2 linked regions of the Oryctolagus cuniculus genome follow. The protein of the gene in region 1 purifies or fractionates together with the protein of each later gene. This does not show direct contact. Links are inferred from orthologs where the notes say so. Each region holds a gene or a part of one and is shown in the gene's direction. Other genes may lie near its edges. The genes, in order: ADRA1D and CTNNAL1.

Evidence for each region.
Region 2: the proteins of ADRA1D (region 1) and CTNNAL1 purify together in Homo sapiens (tandem affinity purification; 3 studies listed by IntAct, with this or other methods). This does not show direct contact. The link is inferred for Oryctolagus cuniculus from reciprocal best matches to the Homo sapiens genes ADRA1D and CTNNAL1.

The regions. Positions count from the first base shown.
Region 1 is NC_091442.1:29,485,181-29,488,994, reverse strand, and holds part of ADRA1D (alpha-1D adrenergic receptor), read left to right. Parts: intron 1-2,609; coding exon 2,610-3,235; 3' UTR 3,236-3,814. UniProt on the Homo sapiens protein: This alpha-adrenergic receptor mediates its effect through the influx of extracellular calcium.
Region 2 is NC_091432.1:212,649,277-212,652,767, reverse strand, and holds the end of CTNNAL1 (alpha-catulin), read left to right. Parts: intron 1-772; coding exon 773-829; intron 830-955; coding exon 956-1,069; intron 1,070-1,736; coding exon 1,737-1,820; intron 1,821-1,964; coding exon 1,965-2,024; 3' UTR 2,025-2,914; downstream 2,915-3,491. UniProt on the Homo sapiens protein: May modulate the Rho pathway signaling by providing a scaffold for the Lbc Rho guanine nucleotide exchange factor (ARHGEF1).

The DNA.
Region 1 (3,814 bases):
GTCTCCCCAGGTTAAAGCGGCCCCCATTGGCCCAGGGCAGGCTCTCCAGTGAAGGGGGCAGTGGTGAGCCTTTGGCAGCCAACTGCCCCAGCAGCTGGGGCTGAGGCACCCAGGTGGGACCCCAAGAGCACCAGCATTAAGTCTGCAGGGGGACTTTAGAGCAGAGGCTCGAGGGTGGCGAAGGAGATGGCTCAGCAGCTATCCGGGCTCCTCCCAGGAGCTGGGGCAGTTTAATGCTCTCTCCAGGGAGCAGGCCATCAACCTGGCCTTCTGAGTGCTGCCGGGTACCCTTGAGGCCACAGGGAAGGCAATGAATGCCATACAGCAGAGCACAGGGCGCCCAAGGCCCACACTCACCAAAAACCACTACCACCACCTGCCCAGACCGTGGGAGTGGGCTTAATCAGACAAAGCTCCTTGCAGCAGGGGAGGCCAGGCCAAACATGAAGGGGAGGAGTCCCCTGTGGGGAGAGCAGGAGGGCTGCCCTCCCCACTGGAGAGCCACGTGACAGCAGACGGGCGTGGGCCTGCCACTCCTGGGGCTGCCACTGGGAGGAAGAAAGCCAGTGGCTGTGGCTCCGGACCCCAGGGCCCCCAGAAGGCGAGGGAAAGTTCAGGTTCTGTCTGTAGTGATGTGCTGGGAAGGGCAAGAGCTTGAGGGCCATACCGACTCAGACGCGTGTCCTGACGTTGCCACATGGCCACGCTGCCCGGGATGTCCTGGGGCTTCCGTGAGAAGTCCGTCAAGGGCCTGGCATGGGACTAGGTGGTGCCGAGCTCTCAGGAATTCCTCAGCTCCGGCTGGAGAAGTTCAGAGAGCTGCTGCAGAAAGTGGGGAACAGGCAAGGGAGGGGAGCTGAGACGGCGGGAAACAGTGCAAGGAGCCCCGTGTGCTCGGGGCTGGCTCAGTGGCTCCGGGTTAGCACCTGGCTGGATGAGGCCAGCGTGAGTCTGGAACACGTGGGCAGGGCAGGCCCGAGGAGAAGGTGGCTGTAGTGCTAGTGCGTGGCCCCCCAGCTGCTGTGCGGAGATGAGGCTGTGGGGACACAAGGACAGGGGCAGGGGACCGCGTAGGACACTGCCTGGGAGACGAGGGTGGTGGTGCGGAGTTGGGGGGACTTAGGGCTCTGCAGGAGTTGGTGGTGGATGAGATGCAGGCTGTGATAGAAGGAAGAATCCTGGAATGTGCCAGGCACCTCCCGTGTGCCACACGCGGTGTGGGCAGCTTGGGCAGCAAACAGTTGCCCTCAGGGTTCTTAGCAGTGCGATGTGCTGGGGGGAGGGCGAGGCAGTACAAATGACTTGGCTGGGTCAGGACAGGGAGGTGCAAGGAAGGCATCCAGGAGGAGGTGCCAGTGGGGCTGGCACTACCAGGAGGCAAAGTGAGGGCATTCTGGGGAGATCGTGTGCCAAACAGCCAGAGGCAAGAGCAGGGAGCCAGTGTGCCGCGGAGGCCCGTTGGCCCCTTGGCTACTGCACATGCAGGCAGAAGTAAGGCTGCACAGGGACCCTCGGGCCACGAGACAGAAGGGGGTGAGGCTGGGGGCTGGAGAGGTGGGCGGCCAAGGGAGCAGCACACGGGAGCCCCCCTCGCAAGCAGTGGCACAGCCGGACTTGATTTCAGCGAGAAAGGCTGTGGACGGTGTGGGGTGGGAGCAAGAGATCTCCCTAGGGAAGAGAAGGAGGCTGCTGGGCACTGGGAGAGTGTGGCCTTGGCCCCAGCACCTCCATCTGCCCACTGAGGCTTTCCCGAGGCTGGGGTAGAGGAGCTGGCAAAGATGTGCAAAGGGTGAGGAGGTGAGGCAGCTGGCCGACCCAGAAGCATAACTCAGAGTGACGGGCAGACAGGAACACTGGTCATAGCAGACAAGGGCTTTGTGCATCGACGCCCTCCAATGGTACAGCAGTGATACAGGGACTGTGCCATGAGCCCCAGTCCTACACTCATGGTGCGCAATGGGGAGGGATATGCCCGCAGCTCCCTCTGAGACCCCTGCAAGAAACCATGGGCTGATAAAGAGAGGAGCAGCAGGGAGAGGGAGGCAGGGAGGTACAGGTGTAGACTGGGCACCCAGGCAGAGGTGGGGGTGAGGCTCACCCCTGCTGCCTGCGAGAGGAACAGAGGGAGCGGGAGCGTCTGTTGGGAGCTGTTGAGTGTGGCCTGAGGAGCCCCCGGCCCAGCGTCTCTGCTCTAGGCACAGTGTGGGCAGTGAGCAAATCAAGTTGTGGCCGCTGATGCTGCCCACTCACACCCCCAGACCTCCCATGCACATGGGCCAGCTTCTACCTGAACACTTGCCTACGTCCTGGCCAGGGGCTGCCTCTGCCACCAACATCCCTGCCGTCCTCCAGGTAGGAGGCCGGCAGCCCAACGGATGACTAATGGGAACAGGTGTGAAAAACACCCGCTGATGGGAGCCCTCTGAGATCTGTGCTCGTCTCCCTGAGCTCGCCAGTGGGGTTACGCCCCAGTCATGTCGCTCTGGGGATGATGAACTTGACAACACACCTGTCCTTGGCTTCCTGCTCTTCCCTCTTCTGCCCATTCCACCCTGGGTGTCTCACTGATGCCCGCAAATTAACAGCTTGTGTTTGAACGCTTGTCACAGAGTCTGCTTCTGGGAGAGCCCAAGGAAAAGCAAACCTCGGCAGGATACAGGAGGGAAACCGTGGGCCCAGAGAACTGAGGCTAAACCCCAGCTCCTTCCTGTGCACGGAGCTCCCAGCTCACCGCAGACTCCTGCCCAAGCCTCCTGAGCACAAACAGAATATGAACGCTACAGCAAGACCCCAGCCCCGCTGCTCACCCATCCTGATCAACGCAGGCTGGTATCACTGTCCTCTGGCCAGCTTCAGGCTCACCCCTGGAAAGCACAGTCCACGGATTTGTCATCCTGGGCTAAATATAAAAGGCTCGGAGCCTGAGTCACAGGGCTATTTTCAGCACTCTGTCTTGCTTTGCACCGTTGAGGGGTGCTGTTCTGGAGGGCCACCTTCCTGGAGGCTGAAGTCCATCAACCCTGCTGGCCCCCACATCCCAGAAAGCACCTTGGGCCCTCGAACCCGTCGGCTCTCAGCCACTGTGTCTGGCCACTGTCCAGGCCCCAGCCCAGGGCCGAGGGCGCCTCTCTCTGGGAGGATGCAGAAGTGGGGAGGAGCGGGCAGAGAACAGACACAGGTATTTAGCGGGAGCCTGCTGAGTGCTGGGCTCTGGAAGGGAAAGAGGGGACGTTGATGGCCAAATAAGTGCTCAGGGCGCTGTGAGCGGGAGTGGAAACAGCTGTGCTATGGGATGTGTGTGTGCCCTTCCTCCCAGGGTCCCTCTGTGGTGGGATGGAGGGTTGCAGGAGTCCCCAGGTCCTCGGTAGGGGACCCTGCTCCTCTTTCTTTTGGAGAACGGGGAAGAGAGAGAAGATGGCATGATTTGTCAAGGCCCGCCTCACACCCCGGCCTGCTTGGTCTCACAGGCCCCTGTGGCCCCCCGCCAGGATCCAGCTTCCTGGCCGCCTGTTGCCCTCCATCCACTGCTGACCAGGATGAGAAAGATGGCCTCTGCTTCCCTGGTTGTGCCTTGGCATCTGGCCGTGAGGTCTCTGGTGGGGATGTCAGGGAGAGGTTTGTGAGCGAAGGGCATAGCGCAGACCCCAGGGCTCCGACCCCCACCCGCCTGGAACTCTTCTAGTTCAAAGCTACCCCCAAAGCCCTTTCCACCCAGGTGCAATGGTACAGCGCCACCGCCCAACATTCCCACATGGGCACTATGTTCACTGTGGCCTGACTCCAGCCCCCATCTCTCATCTGCTTAAAAGTATCC
Region 2 (3,491 bases), on another chromosome or scaffold:
TTCTGGGTCTCCCACACGGGTGCAGGGGTCCAAGGACTTGGGCCATCTTCTACTGCTTTCCCAGGCGATAGCAGAGAGCTGGATCAGAAGAGGAGCAGCCAGGACTAGGACCGGCGCCCATATGATGCCGGCGCTTCAGACCAGGGTGTTAACCCGCTGTGCCACAGTGCCGGCCCCCTGTTCTTTTTCTTTACAAATCACTCCCAGAATTACCCTGTTCTCCACATTATTATTGCCAACCACCTAAATCTAAGTCTTTATCTCTTTATTCTCCTGGTGTCTCTCACTCTAAAATATTCTACATATCATTTTTTTAAAAACATTTGTTTTATTTTTTTGAAAAGCAGAGTTACAAAGAGGGAGGCAGGAACTCCATCTGGGTCTCCCAAGTGGGTTCAGGGGTCCAAGCAATTGGACCTTGTTCCGCTGCTTTCCCAGGCACATTAGTAGGGAGCTACATTGGAAGTAGAGCAGCTAGGACTCAACTCAGCACTCATATGGCATGCTGGTATTGGAAGTGGTGACTTAACCCACTGCACCACAATGCCTACCCCTCTACATACCATTTTAACATAATATTCTAAAGATCCCTATCTTACCTGCACAAGTTCTTCTCCATCATCCTCTTCTCAGGATGCATAGTGAATTGTCACCACCTTTTTATAGTTGGTGATTTTTATGATGAGTATGTGTAGGTTTCATTAGTAAGTATATTTCTTATCAACTACTTGTGGGTATCATTTAAAACAGTAATGTTTTCCCTTCCCACCAGGTTTTTGCTGCGGAGGGTTTAAAGTTTACTTCAAGTATCCAAGGTTTTTCAAAACAGGTAACTCTTGTCTCTCTGCCTGGTGCTGGTTATAGTATCCTAGATACCCACTGGCATAGTATTAAGGTATCAAGATATTTAAGGTATTTCGTTGGGGGTGTTATAACTTCCTAAATTACATTTCAGCTGAAAGATGATGACAAACTTACGCTTCTCCTGGAAATAAACAAGCTAATCCCTCTATGCCACCAGCTCCAGACAATAACCAAGACATCTCTGCAGAATAAAGTACTTCTCAAGGTAAAGCAGAGGGAGGGAGTTACTCAGGTAGACTTTGAGAAACTTGCATACTTCTGTCTTTATCATATTTGCTCCAGGCTGTTTTTTCTTCAAAGAAAGTGTTAATACCTGCAGAGGCACAATTTATTTACATATTTCCCAATTTGATGGCAAGAATCTTTTATTATCTGCTTTTGTAACTGACCCCAGAGAGCAACACATTCACTGAATGAATTGGCTTTTTGGACAGGATTAATTCCATAGCACTGGCAGCTACTGCTAAATCCTGTCATCATCACCTGTCTGACCTGGGCATGAGTGCCTCCAAGGCTGGGCTCCCAGAATTTGTCTAAGGATATGTGGGTTTTTGCCCACAGAGCAGAGTGCAAGGAATGCCAAAGCAGGGAATTTGCTGTCACTATTTGGAGCATTTTGAGTAGCTCCTGAGTAGTCTGAAGGAGCACAGTTGCTTTTCCACCCATTCTTCCTGGGTGGAAACAGGAGTAAGACCTGGGTGACAACGCTGCACTTGTGTTCTGGGGCCTTGAGTCAGCTCCTGTGATCTCTGTACCTTCCAGACCCTTTGTAGTTCCACAATGGAGAAATGCCATTTTCACATCAACTATATGATAAAGTTTTGTGAATTCCCACTTGTAGAATACGATTTGCACGCTTTCTGTCACTATAGGTTGACAAATGTATTACAAAGACAAGATCCATGATGGCGCTCTTGGTTCAACTTCTTTCACTTTGCTATAAACTGCTGAAGAAGGTAAGGCAGTTTTTCTATCTTCAACTCATATTTGAAAAGTTAAAGGAAATTGCAAAAAAAAATTAGTAATTACTACTAATTTTGCAGCTTTTTTTTTTTCAGAATAAAGCAGAAATTAATTGTCTTAACTCTTTCTAACTTCAGACAGAAAATGTCAGATGGGTCTCGGTTACAAATAAAGACACCGTGGATGGTAAAACCTGAGAAGATTTTGGAGTCCAGTTTTTGCAACATCTCTGGCAAAGCCGACATTTTTAAAAAGCAAATTATACTTTAAGAAATTCAACACATTTATAAAGAAAACAATACTGAAATCCTGCTTTATTTTCTGATCATGAAACTGGTTGTGAAGCTTTTGACGACTAATAATTGCCCTAATAGCAGTAAGAATTTTAATTGCAGTGTGATTTTAAAATGTAACATTGCATTAAAACTGTAAAAGTCAAACCAAATATCCCAGATGTCTTAATGACAACTCCATCCAAAGAAGCTATTTTGAATATGCACTCGCCTTTGGCATACTTTACTTTAACTGTTTTCTTATTTAAGCCTATCATCTAGAACACTAATTTCAGCAGAAAATATACAGCAGTTTGGGTGAACACAGGGTTTTGCTATAACAAATGGACTCTTCTTCAGTCCCTGTGTCCACCAAGTGTGACAAAATCCCCTCTGATGCTCCCTCTATCGCAGATCATGCTACTGGCCAGAGTTTGTTCTCTAAGAAATGTTTCACAGAGCAAGGGCTAACTGCTGCACTGCATGTACTTCTGAGCTCCTGAAAGCTGAGTACAGGAACCCACTCCACGGAATCCTGGAGGGAGCAATTCCTGGGGAATAGCAGATAGCCGTCTTCTGGTCCTAGGTCTAGCATAGCTAGCCAGTCTGCCCTGAATACTAGCTGTAATACTAAGCCTATTTTCCTGGCTTAAAAAATAGTTTTGATCTATTCTTCTCAGTATTGATATAATGGAAAAGAAGACAGAAGGATGGAACCAAGAAGCTGTTTAGATTTTGAGTAATTATACATTTTATAATGTGGCCCTGGAATGTGCATTACAAAATAAACAAACATCTTTATTTAGTCATTTTAATTCGTGTTGAAAACTTGTTTTTGTGCTGTGAGTTTTGATGGAAAGATCTGGCTGATAGGTTTTCTCTGCATGTTATACTATGATTGACTTTGTTTTGAGCTCATTTCATAGTGTTTGCATCCCTTGCTTTGAAATTCATTTTGATATCTGATGGGTCATGTCCTTGCCACGTGGCAGTAGATAGATGAGTCTGATGATTTTTCTGTGTCAGCCACCACAATCAAGATTCACGGATTTTGAAGAACCACAAGACTAATGATATTTTACTGAAGAAAACTTTGTTTTTTAAAGATGTATTTACTTGAAAGTCAGTTACACAGAGAGAAGAAGAGGCAGAGAGAGAGAGAGGTCTTCCATTCGCTTCTTCCGAGTCCCCCATGTGGGTGCAGGGGCCCAAGGATCTGGGCCATCTACTGCTTTCCCAGGCCATAGCAGAGAGCTGGATCGGAAGTGAAGCAGCTGGGACTTGAACCAGTGCCCATATAGGATGCTGACACTGCAGGTGTCGGCTTTACCCGCTATGCCACAGCCCTGTACCCTGAAGAAAACTTAAAAAAAAGATTTATTTGGGGACAGG